Arabidopsis thaliana: one gene and its partner. The protein of the gene in region 1 interacts with the protein of each later gene in a pairwise test. Each region holds a gene or a part of one and is shown on either strand. Other genes may lie near its edges.

Evidence for each region.
Region 2: the proteins of ROPGEF9 (region 1) and RAC10 interact in a two-hybrid assay, tested with the Arabidopsis thaliana proteins (one study listed by BioGRID).

What each region holds. Positions count from the first base shown.
Region 1 is NC_003075.7:7,674,696-7,685,982, reverse strand, and holds ROPGEF9 (RHO guanyl-nucleotide exchange factor 9), read right to left. Parts: upstream 6,034-11,287; 5' UTR 5,831-6,033; coding exon 5,611-5,830; intron 5,509-5,610; coding exon 5,392-5,508; intron 5,295-5,391; coding exon 5,140-5,294; intron 5,057-5,139; coding exon 4,982-5,056; intron 4,906-4,981; coding exon 4,633-4,905; intron 4,505-4,632; coding exon 4,184-4,504; intron 3,962-4,183; coding exon 3,569-3,961; 3' UTR 3,361-3,568; downstream 1-3,360. Other genes in the region: NYC1 (NAD(P)-binding Rossmann-fold superfamily protein), read left to right, coding at 68-142, 238-433, 524-592, 679-818, 892-1,014, 1,091-1,283, 1,378-1,566; EDA21 (embryo sac development arrest 21), read left to right, coding at 7,736-7,793, 7,900-8,117; AT4G13230 (Late embryogenesis abundant protein (LEA) family protein), read left to right, coding at 9,354-9,434, 9,533-9,592, 9,921-10,142; AT4G13220 (uncharacterized protein), read left to right, coding at 10,708-10,924, 11,055-11,116, 11,215-11,287. UniProt on the Arabidopsis thaliana protein: Guanine-nucleotide exchange factor (GEF) that acts as an activator of Rop (Rho of plants) GTPases by promoting the exchange of GDP for GTP.
Region 2 is NC_003076.8:25,231,595-25,242,441, reverse strand, and holds RAC10 (RAC-like 10), read right to left. Parts: upstream 5,480-10,847; 5' UTR 5,207-5,479; coding exon 5,102-5,206; intron 4,642-5,101; coding exon 4,554-4,641; intron 4,410-4,553; coding exon 4,300-4,409; intron 4,192-4,299; coding exon 4,128-4,191; intron 4,038-4,127; coding exon 3,973-4,037; intron 3,880-3,972; coding exon 3,814-3,879; coding exon of another isoform or gene 3,743-3,813; coding exon 3,630-3,742; intron 3,540-3,629; coding exon 3,503-3,539; 3' UTR 3,180-3,502; downstream 1-3,179. Other genes in the region: AT5G62865 (uncharacterized protein), read right to left, coding at 7,875-8,378; AT5G62860 (F-box associated ubiquitination effector family protein), read right to left, coding at 8,901-9,401, 9,655-9,810. UniProt on the Arabidopsis thaliana protein: Involved in local disassembly of cortical microtubules when associated with ICR5 and KIN13A.

The DNA of each region.
Region 1 (11,287 bases):
ATTTTTTGATTTTTGTTTCTTTGTGTTTTGGTTTGATGCTGATGTATGTTTTTATGCTGTGTTTTAGCACTAGGGGACTAGGGAAAGCTCTTGCTAGAGAGTTTCTTCTCTCTGGAGACAGAGTCATTGTCACATCTCGCAGGTTGATAAATTGTATATATGGAATTATGGATTAGTTTTTATCAAGCAATGAAGTCTTAATATGATTTGTTTTTTGGTTTTTGTTTGTGAAATCAGTTCTGAATCTGTTGATATGACTGTCAAAGAGCTAGAGCAAAATCTCAAAGAGATTATGAGTAACGCTAGCGAGTCAGCTAGAAAGAAACTGAGTGATGCTAAGGTAGTTGGTATTGCCTGTGATGTTTGCAAACCCGAAGACGTTGAGAAGCTGTCGAATTTCGCTGTAAAAGAGCTTGGTTCCATCAACATATGGGTAAAGAAACATATTTCTTTTTGTACAGTTTGTAACTTTTTTTGTATCTTTAGTCATATGTTTGCTCACTGTCTATATTCATTTGGATAGATAAACAATGCTGGTACTAACAAAGGTTTTAGACCGCTACTCGAGTTCACGGAAGAAGATATCACACAGGTAAAATCCTTTTTGAACCTAAAGCTTAATTTCAGCTTGAGCTTATGGTGAAGTTCATTAGTCTAATTGTAACTATTATTTTGTAGATTGTCTCCACAAATTTGATTGGATCAATTCTATGTACACGAGGGGCTATGGATGTGATGAGCAGACAGCACAGTGGTGGACACATCTTTAACATGGATGGTGCTGGCTCTGGAGGTTCAAGTACTCCTCTCACTGCCGTGTAAGAACTCAAATCATTCGTTACTAGTCTCTAATGAATTAGAACACATTTCTGAGTCTGTGAGCTTTCGCAGATATGGTTCAACAAAATGTGGACTTAGGCAGTTTCATGGGTCTATAGTGAAAGAAAGCCAAAAAACAAACGTTGGCCTTCACACTGCATCCCCTGGCATGGTTCTGACAGAACTTCTTCTCAGGTATGCATACACTTTGTCACTAAGGCCTAGAACAGAATGCTCCGGAGTTTTATTGAAGCAACCATTTATTTGGCAGTGGTTCGAGCATTAAAAACAAGCAGATGTTTAACATAATCTGTGAGCTTCCTGAGACAGTAGCTAGAACTTTGGTACCACGAATGCGAGTTGTGAAAGGTTCGGGAAAAGCCGTCAATTACCTAACTCCTCCTCGGATATTGTTAGCTATTGTCACTTCCTGGCTAAGGAGAGGCCGATGGTTTGATGACCAAGTAAGTGTTACACTTGAGTTCTAGTTCAAGTTTTTTGACAAATCCTTCACTTGGTTAAGCCTGAGCTGACGCAAAGATGTGTACGTGTTTGCAGGGACGGGCGTTATATGCAGCAGAAGCAGATAGACTAAGGAACTGGGCAGAGAACAGGACGAGGTTGTCGTTAACAGACGCGATGGAGATGTATACAGAGAATACTTGGGTCTCTGTTTTCTCTCTTTCTGTTGTTTGCGCTTTCATCATCTTACAAAGCACAACACCTAGCTCTTTTCCAGGCACATAACAAACATCTTCCTCGGATGTGTTTTAAGAAAATTGTAAACGTACATGTTATGTATAAAAAACATATATATAACAGAACCGATTTGTTCATGTAAACACTTCTTATAGTTGTAGAATGTGTCGTTGTTGAAAACAATGAAAAAATAGATTGTAATAAACTTTTATCAGATTGTAGTATTTTCTAGTTTTCACTAGTTGGGCCTTTAAAGGCCCATTAAGCGGAGTTAAAAAAACACAGCTCCAATAACATTGCATCAATAAAAAAAGTGGAGGGCCATCAGATAGGAGCGAAAGACTGTGCTACTGAATAGTAATCATGGAGATCATTTGAACTATGCATTATTAATCATCACTTGACCCTTTTTTCCAAATAAACAAAAACAAACCAAAGATTGTTTGGCCTCATAGAGAAGATTAGATTTTATCAACAAGGATTAATTCAGACATATGCTTGTCTATTTTTTTGATTAAATCATTGGCCAAAAAAATCGATTAGAAGAAAGATTGAAAAACAAAAGTCAAAAAGTAGGACTCAGAATATGGGTGGTGATATAACAGAATGGTCGGCAAATAGGCTTTTTACGGCCGTTTTTACGACGAACGAGACCTTAAATATCAATCGTCACTGTCCGGAAGAAAAAAAAAAACAATTTTGTAATACGACAATAACAAAAGTAAGGGTTGGAGAAAGTATAAGGATTTGATTACGAGAGCAATTTGTAGCTTGAGAGATGATAAGCTTCTCTCTCTCTTTGGGTTTTTATACAGAAAATAAATATGGAGCGCTAGGGTTTTCTCACTCGTTAAGATTCTGACACGTGTCCACTGTTACATCTGACGGTGCTCAACATCACACACCGCTACGGACGTTGTTGGGCTTATCATAGTTTGGGCTTTACCAGGGCTTACTATCAAATTAGAAATCGTTCATGTAGCCGAGTTTGGATTTAAGTTAAAAACTGGATTTGGGTTAAACCGTTAAAACCGGCCGAAACTTTGGATTCACAAAATTTAAAATCATAATCTTTTAAGTAAATATGGTTTTGAGTAGTCAAAATTAGTTATACAAACTCTTAATGCAAACTCTATTTTCCAAAGTTACATTTCTATTTTTATTTATCAATTCTATGATAAAAAAACGAAAAAAAAAACGAAAATTTCAACAAAAAAAAGTCCAAAGTGTTATAAATAAATGTTTTATTTTATGGTGGATATAAATACTATAAATAATAAAGAAAATATTACATCCGCAAAGATCAGAATATTAAATAATAAAGAGAAAAAAGTGAGATTTATCTTTAGACGATTATTATCTGATATTTTTGTATTAAAATAAAAATACCTCATCTAATTATTAGTAATTTTAATATATTTTGTATATAAATAATTACGAGTTTAATTCCACAAATTATTAATTTATGAAGTATTTTAAAATCACAAATAATTAGTTGGGGTATTTTTATTCTAATATAAAAATAACGGATAATAATCGTCCAATTAAAATTATTTTGGATTTGTTTTTGGATTTTTCCAAAAATTAAAAGAAAATCGTATCTTTGCTACTCAATTTTTTTCTTATCGGAGCAAACGACTTCATGTGCACACACACAAAAAGAAAAAATTATGATGACATTTCTTTTTTAGTTTACATATTCTGCATAGTACTCAAACATATTACTAATTAACTGTTAATTAAGTAGTCAAATGTGGCTGCTGTTTGTAGTTTGTTTTTATTTTCTCAATATGATTTTTATACAATAAAATGAATTAGTAACTGAATTTTTTATTTTATTTTATAGTAAATGATTTGTTTTTATCAAAACAAAATTATTGAGAATTGATGTGGGGGTAACATGTTGTTTTACTTCTCTGTCCAAGAAACAAAACTGGAAGGAAGATAATAGTTAATTGCTAATTGTTTCATTCTTTTGCCTAAATATACACACTTATATGGCTTCTTCAATTGTATCATTTTAGTTGTTCACATGTCTTTTGATTCATCTTCAATGCCTATCTTTAGGGCTCCTAAAACCATTTAAGTTCTCAAGCTTCTCCAAATATGAGAGTTTCTTTGGCGTCATTCTCGGAGATTTTGGAGGTTTCTCTGACTGCCCTTTTGAACTATTGTCACTCCAACCAATAAAATCAAGCAATGTCGTCTTTGATGAGTTTTGTGATTCAAGCTTCTCTATTTCCTCTCCTGAGTAGTTCGAAGATCCAGCAGACGCTGAGTCCGTTTCCGTTGCTATTTTCCCACCATCTGATGTTTCTTCACCTGTGCATTGCTTCCGGGCTAAAGAATCCGCATAAAGTACATCGTCGATTCTCGACATTTCCGTGTACCCTAAGCTCTCTAATATCCTTGAGTAGCTCTCCAAAACCGCATGTCCCACATCCTATAGTTAGAACACATAAAGTGACAAATGAACCACCATATAATATACAACCAAAGTACGGTTAGTTAGTGTTGTTAATCTTATTTAAAATTTACTAAAAAATGTTATATCAAAAATTTATATATGATTCATGACCACCAATATTTTCAGAATCTTTCCTAGATGATGATTTGTCCGATCATATCGGAATAACAAAATAAAGCAATAACATTTGAGCATTACCTTGTTATACTGAATTTTGGAAATGTCAAGGGAAGATTGGGGAAGACCAGGGAACTTTTGTTTAAGCAAGACCAAGATCGTCTCGGCTCTCTCTTCGAACAACTCTCGTTTCTCCAAGCTCACAGCTGATCCCCAAGAAGATTTGTTGTCTTTTAGATGAAGTTTTCTTTTCCATATAACGATTGAGGCCTCAATCCTATTCTTCACATCCAACACTTTGTGCTCTGTAGATAAGTCAAGTGTTGACAAGAACTGCTCTGGATCAAACCACTCTTCTGTTATGCTCTTGTATAACGAATCCCCAAGGCTTACTCTTCCATTCTGAAAATAATCTAAGTCTTCTTAATAACCATTATTGATTTGCTTAAAATAGTATATGATATTTTAAAATAAATGCAAGCAAATCATCCAAACTATATACCGGTTTTAAGACAAAAAAGGAAGATCACCTTTGGAAGAGACTCGATATAGCTATCAGGGATAGCCATTTCTGACAGAACTTGCGCGTTAATAGCCATGGCGGCTTTTTGGACTTGTGAGACTGAATCTTTTTGAAAATGAAGCATTCTTCGGGCTGATTCGGACAAGCCATTAGGAGGGACTTTAACCGGAGGAAGCCACCACTTGTCCTTTGTCCTCTCATTCCGTGCTTGTTTCCCTTCTTCTGAATCTCTCGATACATACCAAAACTCATTGTGTCCTCTAAAATTGTCCAATGTATCCTAACATGTTTCAATATCGTTCTATCAAAGTTATTGCATAACATACATGTATATAATATATAAGGGACACACTTACAATGAGCATGGCGTCGAGTTTGCGAAGGGCAGGGATGTTCATGAGGAGATCACCTCTTTGTCTTGTCACCATAATCTAGACATAGTCATTGAATCAGAATATTATCTCTGATGTTGATGAATATGAAATTGATAGTTATAAGTTTCAAGAAATGGAACCTCGGTGCAGACTCCTTCCTTACTAATCTGTTGAGATGGAACAAACTCGACGATGTGATCAGTCACGGACAACAACCAATCGATCTCTTTCTTCCACCTCGCTCGTCTATCCGGTGCCATCGGCTGCAACTTTGTCTGTTCCCCGAATATTGACGCTACACATAAAAATTAAACCAAACCATAGATTGATTCTATGTAACTTGTGGAGGAAGAAAACTAAAAAAAAAAAAACTATTAGAGTTACTTTTTTACCGGCTAGATTCGTGATGGCATTTGATAGTGCCAAAGCAGAAGATACACCTTTACCACCACCAGACATATCTTCTCCAAGAAGTAATTTCGTGAATCTATCTTTCATCATCTCCGTCTCTACAATGTTTAAACCCGCAAAATTGTAAGCTTTTTGATATATATCTCTAGAGTTCTTAGTTCTTAAACGAACAGAAATAATGAAACTTCTTCTTTAATCACCGGATTGTTGCTTGTCCTGTCTACGGGAAATCAGACGAGAAGTCATCGGGCGGCTAGTCTCCACGGGACTTCCACCGAGGCTGTCTTGAGTTTGACTCTCCGGCATGGTTGTTTCCGCGAGATGAGGTTGTTGTTGTTCTTTTCCCGGTGAGGAATCAAACATTCTATCAAGATTGAATGAACTCGTGATGCTTATTCCTCGTTCCAACGATGGAACCATGGTACCAAAACCTTTCTTTTGTTTTCTTCTCTACAAATACAAACTTTTTACTTTTAATATTCCCAAGAACGAGAGAGAATTTAATTGTACGGAGAATCAAAGTAAATTGTTCGACAGATTATTATAGTATGCAACTACAAATTTTTCTAAATCTGTGGAAGCCTTAATTATGACAAATCAAGGAAACGTGGGATGCACGAAAATGAGGAAGAATCGAGAAAGTGTCACAGATTTAAGGATTTGAAATTTGTTCTATACCAAAATAGTAAATCAATAGATAGGCAGAAACCTTATTTAAGTTTTTTTTTTTTCTCTTTGGTGTTCAAAGGTAAATCAGTGGTTTGTGCTTCCGTAAAGCCCGGGAGAGACGATAAACTTGGCAACTATTTCAACAATAAACAAAGACTAGGCCATTCATAAAACAAAACTATGTTAGGTTCTTATAGTTATCCACCAACAAAATTTTCGCAGAAATAACTTTTAAAGAAAATATTATTGCCAATGTATTTCTAATTTTCTCAAAATTTGTCTGAATGAGTGAAATGAATTTGGATGCTTTTAATTACATGGCATGGACTAATTGTTATATAAATTTCGATGAATTTGGATGAGCTTTGAAAGAGTGAATTTTTATATTAAAAAAAGGTGAACTATATTTCTCTTTATGCTTTTTTTTTATTACCTGTGTAAATAAATAATTGCAAACAATGAAATATTTTTATATAAGTATCATAATCTAATTCTTCTTATGGAAAACTTCAGGTTGTGGGACTCGTTGTATTTTGCTTTTCATTCTTCGAGGAGTACGTACGCCACTTGCTGCTCATTCTTTGAGAGCTCTTTATTTTTAGTCGGTACACACTGACTTCGAAGACAAGTCCGATTCTTCTTCTTTTCAGCCGATCCTTCTTCTTTTTATTAGTAGTTCTATTTATTTTACATCGTCATTTCGGCCTTATCCTCTTTCGAATATCTTTTCTGTATATGATTCATCGTGTGTTTAATGATATACTATATTTATGGACGGTTCTTGATGCATTATATATAAGTATTTATCAAATTTATGTTCATATTTTAAATTATATTTTTATACATCGATTAAGATTTTTATCGAAAATATTTCATTTTCCTTCTTAAATTTATCGATTCTCCTTTTTTGGAGTTTATATATTTCATAAAAGGTCGCTGAATGTTCTTACCTGGAAGACTTGTTCTCATATTTGTTCAACCTTGTTTTTGTTTTTATTTCCTCACGAATCATGTAATATGTTTTCGTTCTGTGCGCTCCGAATCTGTTTTGTTCTATTAAACAACTTTTCTTGATATTGATTTGTCAAATCAAACGGACCGAAAAAACCACCCGAATATTTAGAACCCATAGGAAACGTGGACAATATATAAACATAATAATTAGAAAATTAAAATATCATTTTTCATACTTTTGATCTTTTTATTGTCTCCCCTTTCATACTTTTGACTTCTTCTTTTTTTTTTTGGTCTCCTCTCATACTTTTGACTTTGTGTGCAATACCAATAGTAGAATAACTTATGTAAAAGACTCAACTAACCCATTTTCCCTTCTTTAAAATTTTTACACTTTATTAGTGACCCTAACCTTTAGAGTCCATAGTCATCTTTCTAAATATTTGTAATCGACAAAATATATATTTTTGTTGATAGTGCTATGTATTTATTAAAATAAAGTATGGTTCCGCACTATTTACGGGTCGAAATTATTTGGCAGCAAAAGTAGACGATGTTTAGGTATATAAAACTAGATAAAGTAATCTAGGGACATACACATATCGATATAAAATAATGCGTTTTGCTATAATTAGAAGAACATTAAGATTACAAACGAAGGCAAATTAAAGAGTGAAGAGAGAGCACTTGACTAAGACAAGAATGGCCGTGAAGCTCATTTACCTCTTTCTCTTCTTATACATTGCTCTTCTAATTTCAGGTATATATAAATTGTATGATCCATGGAATATATTACTTTATCTCCGGTTAAGATCTTTTTCTTTTCTTTTGGAAAAATACCAAATCTTTTGGATATGATGATGCAGAAGGGATGGCTACTACTCCAGGCCGGACTATGAGCACAACCGCGGGAAGACGGGATGGGAAGAGTGGTCGGACGGAATGGCTGTACGTAGCCGGAGAATGTGCGAAATTACCACGTTGCAACAAATATTGCGTCTCTAATGGGTTTCATCTTGGTGGGTTTTGTGAGAAATTGTCTCCTCAAGCTTCTTATCTTTCTTGTGTCTGTAAATATACTTAGGTTTCATCAAACTCACCTATTTCCTCTTTCTTGGTGTTGGGAGAGATAATAAAGTGTTGTTCAGAATTCTAGACTTGACTTGTTGGTCCATTCTACTTATAATGGTTTGGACTTGTAAGCCTTGTATATCTTTGTTTGTTTCATAAAAAAAAGAAGCACTATCCTTTAAAGTTTTATCTCAAAATTAATAAGAAACTTTGAATTTGTTGTACAGATGTGATAATGACTTGTGACTTACTTATCTTGTTGATTCAATTTTCATATTATCTTGTTGTGCATGATCATCCGATCAAATACTTAGTGGCGGATTTAGAAATGTTTTTTAGGGGAAACATATCATAGTAGATCTTTTAAATATTTTTGGTTATAAATATTATTAATTTTATGAAAGAAGAAGAACGTTAGTATAGTAGTACTGTGATATTGCCATTGGATTTCCAATATATGATTAGTTGAATTATTTGAATTTTTCGGATCCCAGCTTATGATATCTTGAATTATTCGAATTCGTCAAAAGAATTCTGATGAGAATGTGTTCACTAACCCCACCTACTCAAGAATTCTCCGTTTTACACATTCACAATATATTATAAAATCTTATACAAATATGCTTATTTTAATATATCAATGATTATAATGAATTAAATTCAAACAGAATTAGTGAGCTTCCTTTTGAAATTTTACGTTAAAAATATAATACAGTATCTTTTAAACAAAAAAAAAACACTGCAAAATGAAAATTTCAGTAAAACAGATTTTACTAAACTAATCTCTAAAAACCACTATCAAAACATGTGCCATAAATTGATCCTCTCGTCTAGTTAATTTCACAAAAAATTGTGAACGTTACTTTTACCATCTTTATATTCATTACATACAAAAAAAATTTGTCTTAACTCAAACATACTTTATTCCAGAATGATACTAAAATTCCGTAATGCAAACATTTTTTTATTCTCAATTGGTCAATGAACAAGCATCAAATAAGGAAAAACAGACGCCAAGGATTGTGTCACACACTAACACATCTCTAAATAGCAAATTAAAACTTGAACCATCGGATGTCCCGAGTCAACCTCCCCACTATGCCATCCAAATCAAACCATGTGTCTTCTTCACATGCACCTCATCTCCTATACATTTTCTCAATTCTCTTATATATACTTAAATCCTTCAAACTCAACTAATTAACAAACTAATCACATTACTAATCAACAGAAAGAAGAGGCCTAAGACATGACAAGCTTCGCGGTCGTTGCAAGACTCATTACAAGAGCTCCTAGAGTTCGTGCTTCCGTCCCGACAAGACTCGTCCATGTAATCTCTTTTACTTTTCGTATGAATTTATCATACATATTTATTTAATATTTGTAACAAATTTTAGTTATCCTTCATTTTTTTTTAAATGATTTAAGGGGACTACTTCTACGAGGAAAGACTCCGTCTGTGACAAAGCCACAGAGGCTCAACAAAAGGTATCCTAGCTATTTTCCTAAAGTTTAAAAGAAGAAGAAGAAGAACTGTGGCCTTAATGTTTTAAACATCATTTTTTGCAATGTGCATTTGCGTTTACATGTCAAATTTGTGTTTGAATATTTTAAGTATAGTTTGTATTTGACTTTTACATTTATAACTACCACATAGATTTTGTTTTAATTTTTGAAATAGTTAGTTATAATATATAGATTGTAAATTTGTAACAAACAATATTAAAAGAAAAAATCTGTTTTGTTTCTTTATTTGTAATTGTCTTTACATTTGGTTTTATGCTTCCGTTATCCAAACTAAACATGATTGGTGTAGGTGGCCAAGAAGGCAGACGAAGGGGCACAGACGATCTCCGATGCGGCGGGTAACTTGAAGGATAAGGCAAAGAACACTGCAGAGGAGGCCTGGGATAAGGTGAAGGACACTACGGAGAAGATCAAAGATACGGTCACCGGAAAAACTGAGGAAACTAAGGAGTCTATTAAAGCCACAGCCAAGACCGTTGAGAGAAGCATGAACACCAAGAACCTCAAATAATAACACGCTAAATTTGACTATATTAAATAAGATGTTATTTACCTAATGAGTTTGTTTTAATCTGTTTTACACTTCTGGTTTGTATCGAGAAAACATATTGCATTATTAGGTAAGAATAAATCGGGTTATGATATGATCATATAGAAACTCATGTGTTTGTTTTAATAAAAATAATTTGATATATTTGTAAATCTTGATTGAAAACTTTTGTGAGTGGTCAACGAGTTATTGGTCCAGTCATAAATCTTCCAGATGGAGATGATTAGTTCGAGGCATGTTAGAAGGGATCTCTTCTCCAAAAGAGATGAATTCACTGTCTCTCAGAAATGTAAAGGTCGAGATATTAAAAAAAAAAATGATCGGTTCCTATTCGGTTATACAGTCGGTTAGCCGACGAATCTATCAATAACCGAAAGCGATCCGAAACTCAACTCAAACCGAACTCAAACCGATTAGTTTCTCAGCTTCAATTCAATCTCAATTTCTTATCTAAAACAGGCCAATTTTTGTCTTTTCTTGTAGAGAATCTGAGTAGTAAATCAAGCGGCTTTAGCAATCACATGTCATGGCTTCTTCTCTATCTTTGAATCCTTCGCCTCTCGCTCCAAGATTCTTACAAACCCTAACCCAATTCCCCAATTCTCCATTCCTCTCTCCATGCTCTGTTTTGAAGTTAAAAAACGCATCTTTACTCAACTTGAGAACTCGAATTGCTCCTCTTCAACCACAACGACTTCGGTCCAAAACCCTTGTTTTGTCTGCTCAGTCCAGTTTCTTGAAAGGTTTGTTCTTTACCCTCACTTTGTTCTTTTGATAGCTATGTCTATGAAATTGAGCAAAAGGGTCATTGATTGATGAAGAAATTGTTGCAACAGAGTTTAGTAATAATGTTTGTGTGATTTTGTTGAACAGTTCTTAGAACTGCGTGGAATATTGGGAAAGATGGAATTGAAGCTGGAACCAATCTTGTACCTGTGAGCTCTCTTTAGTCTTGTCTTCACTAATCAAACTCTACTCTAAATGGTTTTAGTCATACTTGGTTATGTTTACCAGTATACTTTTTTGTTATAAGGTTTCTGTGCCTAGACCAGTAGCGAGAATCTCTGTGACAATTGCAGCATTGGCGGTTTCGTTGTTTGTTGTCA
Region 2 (10,847 bases), on another chromosome or scaffold:
TGATTTCAAGTCGAATGTACATTAGAATATATAAATTCCTTGTGAATTCTATTAACGACACGGATGTTATTCTTTGTAGGCATCATTTGAAATCATCAATCTCTTTTGATTTTATATTAAGAATAATATAAAAACGATTGGAGAATCTTATTAAGCATACTTTATTATAGTATTGTCCAAATTATATACATACGCATCAAACAAAACTAGAGATAACGAGAAAAAAACACAGAAAAGATAATTGTCACGTCTACTTTTTTTCTTGTAGTCCCGTGATCCATATATAAAAACAATTATAAAGATACTTTAACTTTAAAGATAATTTGTTATCGAATTTAGTGGGACATTATATATTCTAGTGCCTGATAGAGTGATAGGACTCGAGATTTAATCTCGGCACTAAACTTCTTTAATACGATTTCATTAAGATAAACAAAGTTATCAAGCTAATACTACTATTCAAGAGGAAATGTGTATATTTTGACTTTCTAATACACTGAGTCATGTTTGTTCTAATTCGACATTTTGTCAAAAACCAGTGATGCATCGTTTTCAATTTATCAGTGTTTACGTCGGTAATAACTATAGTACATAACTATTTTGACCTAAACTCAGTTTTCTATTGCCGACAATTTTTTTATTTATCATCTTTTTTTCTTCTTCTCCAGATAATCAAATACTACATGAACTAAAAACTACATAAAAACAGTAATGTTTAAATTGATATTTTTCACATTATAGATGGACAATAGCAAGTGTAGCAACACGTACGGTTACCTGTTTATACCCAAAATATACTTCTGAAAATTATTGAGTCTTTAATAATTGGGATATATTCAAAATGTCATGCATGTTTTGTTGAATGGATCTCTTCAAAATTTTCTCGAAGGTCATATACACACGTTATCCATGATAGCCTTTAAAGCAACACACAACAGTAAAACGAGATGTGCATAGATTATTTACGTCATTCATATGTTACACATAATTAAGTTTGAATATCCGCCACGTGGATATGAAAGAAAAAAATTCGTAATTAAATTTGATGGTTAGCTTGCTAAATTGTTTGAAGGAATTTTTTGGCACGTGATGGAAAATCTAGCCTGAAACATTATAGTAGTAGTGATAAACTATTGATTAGTCAATCAAGTGTGTAAGCCACTTGATATTAGTGAGAGCGAGTTTTCATAGTATTTTTTAAAAACACCACCGATAATGACCACATAATCATTGAGTTTGGGAGACTCACAAGTTGGTGTCAAGTTGATAATGACGCGATATTCTGAATTTTTTTTTTGTATTATCGTAGATCGTAGTATTACTTTTGTCTTTAGTTAATACATAATGGCCATTACATTATATAATTTAGTCTAAATCAGTTATGGTTTAATTTGTTCCGAGTTTCTTTTTGCCACAAAATTAGTTAACACAAATGTCCACTAAAATAACTATAGTCCGCCGAATTGGGAGCATTATTGACCTGTGTAACTCAGTCAAAATCGGCCTAAAAAGTGTGACAATATTTTTTTTTTAAAAGTATGCTAAGAAATTAAAAGCCGAAAAATAAAAATGGAAGAAATATGAATTTAATTAAGAAAAAGTGGGGACTGGGGAGAGTAAGCACATGGGGTGGGAGAAAAATCTTTCTGGCTTTACTTTTGGGAATTACGCAAAACTCTCTTCATGTGCCATTCTTTACTTTTTCCCCCACATAATTCCATTTTTTTTTTCAAGATTTGCAATCTCATCGAAATTAATGGCTAACAACACATGATGAATATGATTGATAAACAAACATTTTCATGAAAATTTGGTGCATATGAGCTAAAATGTTGAAGACAAAAAAATATATACATAATTGTGGCTGAAACGATGGGTAGATGTAGGGTGTGAGCAAGAGAGACACATGCATGATGCACCCAATATAGAATCTTATAAAACATTGGCTAGATGAGATGGACAAAGTCCATTTTTACTCTTTGTAGTCCAAATAAACCGAATCCGGTTACAAATCCTAGTATTTAGAGTTCATAATATGGTTGTTGTAGATGCATTAAGAATATGATATATTTGTAAATTAGCTAAAGGTTTATGTACATTTTAGATTTCCTTTTTAAAATTGTTAAATAAAGCAATGACATGGTTGTAACTATTAAAATTTGTCAATGGTAAAAAGAAGTTCAAAAGTGTTACTTTTCTTAACACGCGTTGATAGTGTTATCCTTACAGCACTTTTTGTTTTGTTTGAATGAGCTAGTTATTATACTTTATAAGTAGTATAATCTCGAATAAAGAATGTGAAATTTTGAAGAGGAAAAAAAAAGGTTGGCTACTTGGGTCATGGTTGGTTTAGATTAACGAGCCCTCTCCCTGCTCTTCCTGTCATTCTCTCTTCCCCATACCCAATAGAAACTTGTGTGTTGTAACTCCGATCTCACCAACTCAAATAAATAAGTAATCATGTTCTTGTTGTTTCTAATTTATGACTTGATGTGTAAGTGTCGCATATCTTTTAACCTTGTCCGGTTTATATATTTCTTTTGCTTTCTTTTACGAAGGAAATGGTCTTAAGTAATAAAAATATGCTTTTATCTGCCTAACAGAAAAGCCTGCTTTCACGTCAAAAAGAAATCAAGAAAAAGTTGCTTTTTCCAAAAAGAGCTAAAAAAAAAACAGAGAGAGGTACACCGGAAAAACAACAACAGAAAGAGTTACATTTAATTTGGCCCGATTAAAGCCCATTTATGCTCTTACAGGCTCTCTCGGACCCATTGACATTTGTTCTATTATGTTTAGATGAAACTCGGCGTTTTTTTTTTTTTTTTTACTCCGTTATTTATTTGCCTTTGGGACTGGTCTGGTGAGTCCAGTGGTCGTTTCTCGTGTACTCGAGTCTCATCGGAAAGTCTTCGACTGAGTTCGTCGCTTCCATCTTTTTATGGCTTAATCTCCTTTTTTTGGTCAGGTGGAAGATAAAAAAACCTTTGGAACTGCTGTCTCAAAATCTTGAAGACAATGTGTCATTGGAACCGACTGGAATTAGCCTGCGACTACTGAAATATGAGACTCTTATGTAGAAAGTTTTAATGTCTATGTCAAGAGAGACAAAGTTTGGTCAGTTGTACTTTGAGGACAGTGATTTGACTGACACTGGACAATGTAACGACAAGAGATCAACATTAACAAACAAAATAAAATTACTTGATTGCTAATGTAGGACAATAACTGCTTGTCTTCACAGGGTTAAGCGAAGGAAGAGAGAGCTTCTCTGTTGTATCAAAATGGCTAATATATTGCAATAACAGGTTTGAAACAAATAAACACAATTGAATTAATAATAAGCTCTCTACCTCCCCCTCTTTCTCTCTTCAAGGTAACTATTGATTGATTAGAGGCTAATAATCTCTTACATGATTCAATCTATATAATATAAAGTCTCTCGTTTATCACACAATCTCAAAAGTGGAGTTTAAAATCATCAGACTGAGTTGGGTCATCGTCATCAATGCCGAGTCACTATCCTCCCACACAGAACATTTCTGCACATACAAAATAAACACAAAGGTGAAATCAGTACCCTTCATAAGATTGTAGATGCAGAGTTTGTAAAGATTTGTATATATACTCACGATAAACAGCCGTGATTCGACTTTTGCTTCTTCTTCTTCTTAGTCTTCTCCTTTTGTTTAACCAGAGGTTTGATCACTTCCTTTATCGCAGAATCAAAAACTGCTTTCACATTCTGCAATATATAAACTTCATCGCTTTGTTAATCCGAAGAAAAGAGTAACATAAAGAAGCTGCCTCATATACCTGTTGAGTTTTTGAACTACACTCAATGTAATACGTCGCACCAATTAGCTTACGCAACTCCTCTCCCTATCAGATAGAAATGTTCATTTAGTTAATACCATCAAGCCTTATAGTGGAATTATATGAAATCTAAAGTAAAAAGGCTCTTTAAGACTAAACCTGTGCAGTAGTTACAGGGGATAGTCCAGGATGATCAGCCAAATAATGCTTATCTTCACGAAGATCTACACCAGTGTTGTAAGAATCATTAGCTATGAATTGTAACTAAACGGTTAAGAGGAATCTGTTGGTAAATGCTCATCGGTTATTCTTACCTAATTTGGTACCAACAAGGACAAGGGGAACTCCTGGAGCAAAGTGTTGGAGTTCAGGGATCCACTGACTCAATAAGAACAGTCATATAACATTAGAAATGACTCATTCTGACACTATAAGAGTCTTATCGTTTTCAACAATTAGAGAAAAGGATCATTTATTCAATCAGACCTTTTTAAAAACATTCTCGTAGCTAGCTCGGCTGACTAATGAGAAAGACAAGACGAAAACATCTGCTCCCCTGTAACTTAAAGGCCTTAATCTGTTATAGTCTTCTTGCCCTGCAAACAAAGGATATACATATGTAACCTCATATGAGACAAAGCTATTCAATGGATCTCATTTATCAACCAAATGAAAGAACTAGACCAATAAGAATGTTATAAACCACTATAGGATTCAAGACTCAGAAAGAGTGTTCATACCAGCAGTGTCCCAAAGCCCCAAATTGACAGTGGTGCCTTCAACAACAACATTTGCACTAAAGTTGTCAAAAACTGTTGGTATGTAGTCCTGTTACAAACAATTCATCAAATCAATACACAGTTTCAAACTTTCAATCATCAAATCAAGCATATATACATATAATAATAATAATAATAGCAATGAAGAAAAAGTCTGACGAATCCAGACTCCAGAGGATGTTAAATGAAAAAAGATAACATAAAGCTGGACTATACACAAAAGCTGCAAAAACCCAGATGCGCCACACATACTTATGAAAAGTAAAAAAAATCAAAATCTCCAAAAATGGATCTTATATCATGCACAGTTCCTAGGAAAAAGGAGCTAACTTTGACATACCCAGATAGATTCTAAGAACCTTTATGGCAATAAGAAGCTGAAATTTAGTAGACCCAGATACTGAAATTGATTAAAATTTTGTAAAATTTGAGCTAAATCTGATAAATCCAGATGAGATTCCTGATCAAAATTCAAGAGAGAAAGAGAGGTCTTTTTAAAGAGAACTTACAGTGGGGAATTTATTGCTGGTGTAGCAGATGAGCATACAGGTTTTACCAACAGCACCATCACCAACAGTCACACACTTGATGAACTTTGAAGCACTTGAAGCCATTTTGATCTCAAAACAAACATACAAAGCAAATACCAAAAGGAAGCAAAAGAAATAGAGAGAGAGAGAGAGATAAATGAAGTGAGATTACTTAAAAAGAGGAGTAAAAGATAAATAAACCCTCTTTAGAGCATAGAAGAAGGTAGGGTTTGTTGCATAAATTTATGGCTTTTTTTTCTGTTCCTTTTTTACTTTTTTCTGTTTGTTTTTTCAATATTTCCAATTAGATAAACGAAATTGTTTATTGGTATTTGGTGGCTTGTTTTTGGTTTGAACTTGAAGATAGAGAAAGAGCGGTGATGACTCACATGATCCATCGTCCAAGCTTTCCTTTTCCAAATTCTTGTAGTTCATTTATTACTCCAACGAGCAAATTTGCATTGGAATTTGTTAACCAAATCTTGGTGGTTCAATCTTGTTTTTTTTTTTTTAAGTGTTTATTACACTTGTATTGGATTGTAAGAAAATGAAATAATGTGTATTACATACAAGTATGGCGTTACGAATCGAATTATAAGAGAAGGTAGATATTCGTCAAGTTAATAATAGTGTCACGTTGAGCCACACAGTGACAAGTGAAGATGGATATACCATATTTGTATACATTAACATGTACTGTCGAATACATGTTTTGCTATTTTTGTTTTTCTCTCGAGACTTACATATCATATAATGTATATAGCATAACTTACAAGCTAGGGTTACAAAATATATAAAATAATAGAATATCATAGCAACAAAAATTTATAGCAAAATCACTAAGACCAACCTTTCAACATTACTTATATCACAATTCACAAGTGTAAAACTGATAATTCTAAAATTGTAATTTTAGTTTAGGATATTCATTTATTATATTAGGATATATGGATTTTTTTATGTGGACCTACTTTTAAAAAAACTTATCATCTAATTTAATTTACTCAAGATATTTAAAATTGCCAACAAGAGTTTCGTTGGCAACAACCAGCAATAAAAATTCTCAATATTCACAAAGCAACTTTTAATACAGTTATTAAAAATTGAATACTCTTACCAAATAGTTCCTTTTTGTTTGTTTATGGATATAATTGCAGACTCATGGTTTAGAAAGTAAAAGTGTTTTTGTCATGTGTTTAAATAATCATTTATAGGTGGATGTTGGAGCCAAACTGTGTGAACATCTACCAAAAGCAGAAGATAAATGATTTTATTTTATAAGGTAAGTTAATTATTGGAGTAATACCTACGACTATATCGACGGCGACGCAACCACCATAAATATGAAAATGCAAAAGTATTGTTAACTAGAGAGGTCTTCAAAAGGACGACCACGGGAACTTATCGCTCTCTGGTCCAATATTTTAGTATTTTGCAAGTTATTTCCACCAAAAGCTCCAAAATACAAGTACAAATTAAAGTAGCTGATTAATAATACAATACAATGACAAAAGTATGGCCTAAACCAGATAAATATAGAGACTAGTAAGAACGAAAATCGCAAAAGGAGACTAGTAATCACATTAAACTAAATCAATATATGTGTATGTGTGTACAAGTGAATCCATAACTTTTGGTCTCTAAGGAAGACATGTAACAGGAGCATATGTCGTGCTGGTGTAAGGATAGCGTCATTGAAAAGAAACAAGAACAAACGATAAATATATATTTCCACAACAGTTGATGCGCGTAAAAGCAAAACGTGATTAACAGTGGAAATTATCCATAAAGTGAAAAAGACTTGAAGATCACAAATCCGAGTTTTGGCAGTAAGAAATATGGTTATTGGATTTGAAGTTGGGTTAATATTGAAAAAGTAAAAGTTTTTTCGAATATATCATATGAACTCAACAAACAAATGCAACGGGCCCGACAACTCAATATATGGGCCACATCCGAAACGAGCCGACCCACGTAATGGAAGTCCCTTGCCAGGTCACGTGTTTTCTCCCTCTTTGTTCCTATCGGTCCCTTCTTTTATTGTTTTCTTTAATTTGCTGTTTCTTTTGGTCTTATGAATTTTGAACCATTCTTATGAATCTGAAGGTGAATCGATTCTTCGGTACAGTTTTCTCTCTAGAACATGTAAATCGTTATGTAGTTCCTTAATAAATTGAGAGAAACGAAAAAATGTATTTGAATGTTTTGATCAATGATCGTCATTCGTTTATGGCTTCCAATAGAAAGGTTTGAAGTTTGAATTGGGAAAAGTGTTGTTGGTTCATTACATACTACCCCAAACGATTGATAGTTTCTTCTCTTTACTCGGCTTTAACGGTAACTATATCTTTGGAAAACAGAAAAGTTTTTGAGTGGAATTTTAAAAATGAGTATAGATTATAAAAATAAAGAAATCATGTCAAGCAACCATGATTAACTAAATCATTACTTCCACATATGCTAAACAGCTAATTTACATAAAATTATATTATATTAGCCACAACAAGTTCAATATCCCCTCAAAAAAGAAACAAAATATTGCTTCTCTTTCAAGAAACATAAAATTTGGTTGATAAATAAATTAATTAAACTGGGAAAATAATAAAATTAATTCAAAGTTGATTATATAAACAGAATGATTAAATAAGAAAACGCGACAGACTCCAAAAACGATGTAAACCAAACCAGTCAACCATTTTGACAGCCTTTTCCCCGCCGCCAGAAACGCAAACGCGTTTCTCACACGCGCCCACTAACTTTCAATGATCTCATTACGCGGCGTCAACGCAGACAACGACGTCGGCGAAATCGCCGGAGCTTTACCTGAGTAAACCGGGACAGAAGCGAATCGGGTCGAGAAGCTTCGTAATCCACCTAGTCCGACGTATTCATCCTCCTCGTCGTCGTCATCGAAGTTCAAAGAGTAACTCAAAGGATCGTATTGAAACTTCTCGCTTGCGTCCCAATCGCGGCCGCGTCGTGGATCGCGATTGAATCGACGAATGAAAGTCTTCCACCGTGGACCAGCAACGATTTCTGACCACTCTCGGATCTTCAAGGATGCTCGGATCCACCAACGTGGCTCGTCGCCGTGGTCGCCGCTGTGATTACTGTCATCGACGGTTCGAATTCGTCCCCAGGAGGAGTAACCAACGGCGGTGGAGCTTCTTGATCGGCGGAAGCTGGGGAAACAACAGCAACGTTGATCGTACCGGGTATCAGGATCTCGGGTTGGGTCCGACTGCGAAAGTTCCATGGGCCGAAACTCAGAGAAGTTTTTTCTTGGGTCAAAAGACTCGTGATGATAATATAACTTGATTCAAGTTTTAGCTGTAAAGGATTATGATTGGTCCTATTTATTATATGCACACTTGACACTTGTAATATAAATTAAGAAATTGTTATTTTTTCTATGTTATTATATGCACACTTGACACTTTTACGAATCATGGCTGTAAATATTAAAACCTTAGAAACTCAATTATCGATCAACACGATTGAGAATCATAAAAAGTGTTAAACAATTTCTTAGGCTGGTGAAAACGAGTCTTAGAAAAAATAAATATCTTGAGCTAGAATCCGTTATAAGATAGTTACTTTCCTAACAATGTTTTTAGGAATACACTTGATAAAACAAAATTGATATTTATTATAAAAACTACTATTCACTAAGGGAACGAGTTGAACAAATGTGATCCGGCGGGTACAACAAACTAACATTTCGGATCATAGTACGAGGGGTACAAAGATTGAGCAGATGTCACTGTCTTTGGCATTATCACAATCTCACCATTAGGACTGACACCAGCGATGCAATACCTAATTTCTCAAATATCATCATCTTAGACCATTCTTGTTGCTCAATATGATCTTCCATAATCCACATCTCTGCACTAGCTTTGGTGTAACGTATGCATCCTAATTTTCCTTGGTAGTTTACCAAAGTCAATTCATCGAAACTCACTTCACTGAGCTGCTGATTCATCTGCAGAGTTATGGGCATCTGAATACGATCAAAGCTTTCGTGTCTAACGTCGAACCTCACTAGCTCATAGAATTCGGGATCATCCCAGCTTTCTACATGTGCTATGTAATAGATAAACTCTTTGATACATAAACCACTACTCCTAGCTTCTGGAGAGTGATTCCAAATGCCTTGGATGTCAAGGCTCCTCCATTGCTGCTTCATTGGACCTCCCACTAATGTGAAAACTTGTTTCTCAACTGGATCATATCCGAACAATCCATCACACGAGTTGCTCCATCTATCGTGTTTTACCTCCGGTAATAAAATCGTTTTCCTATTGGTATGTTTATAGATCGAGCTTGACCAACAACAGAAGAGTCCTCGAAAATTATTGATACTTAAAATCCCAACTTCGCCCATGGTTTAATGTATAATTACTGTCTTTGTCTGGGTATATGAATGATATATCATTAGTAGGATAAGTAGAGGGCGAGAATAATGACCGAGTCATGATCAAGAGGGTGATACGAGATGACCACAGCTTCGATACACATTGGAACCTCACAAGTGACTTAACAGGGAGTCTCGAGAGTATATCGGTTATTACATCGAAAGGGATATGTATACCGTTTGAATTTTCTCTCTCGGAGATTTCGTTCTGACGTTGTTGTCGTCGTTTTGGAGATCGTGAGGTCTTCTTCTCTTGGCGTCCTCTCTTCATGGTGTCAGTTTTCTATTTCATTAAACTTGAACGAAGAAAAACACATATATATTTTTGGTTTTTGACATTTTTTGGGGGTTTATGACATTTGTTTTTTTGGATATTTTCTATATATTGGCAATACAAAAGAGTTTATAAGCTAAGCAGCCCAGTTTCATGTCCCATTAGGTTTTAGATCTCAAGTCTTAACCGACCTACATTTAAAGGGAAAACATTAAGAAACAATGAGAGATTAATTTAGTATTTTCGATTGATGCGCCTCACACTGAAACCTGAGGCTTGTGTGTTCTGTTTCTCTTCATCTTGATTCAATTCGTTTGCAGTTTCGTAGCTTGATGAGAAAGGAATATTAAGTGATTCATATATAGCAAAGTGTTTACATAGTAAACCTAAAAAGAGAGTAAAACTAAAATCTCTTCTCTTTATTCATCAATACAAGTTGCTATTAACAAAGTTTTTGGTTACAGCACATATTCACTTGCTTTGTATTATTGTATATACTATACAAGATGCTCTACACAACATTTACTATGACATGAATATGAGACAACAAACTCTTTATACATAATGAAGATGTAGTAATAGTAAATGTAATTATGTTTGAGAAAGAGAAAGAGAGAGAGAGAGAGAGACAGAGGTATTAATGTGAGTGAAGAGCCGGGTGTTTCTCATGCATGGGGTACGAGCGGAGTCAACGGCTTCATGGCTCAAATTTGAAACCACGTGTCATGCGTTTGTTACTCTACCCAGATTCTGCTGATTCACAGACTCACTATTAAAATCCACTTTTTCTTTTTTCTCTGTTCATAAAGCAGAAACCAAAAATAATCCAAATATCAAAAAACCAAAAACAGAACCTAGAAACCACACCAAAAAAAAAAAAGCTATTTCATCAAACAAACAAAACTCACATCACAAATCAGAAACAAACAAAAAAGAAACGCAGTACTAAAGAAAAAAATTATAAACAAGAATCATCGAAAAGAAGAATCGAAATCATCAACATATTTTGTTTCTCTTCTTCTTTTATTTTTATA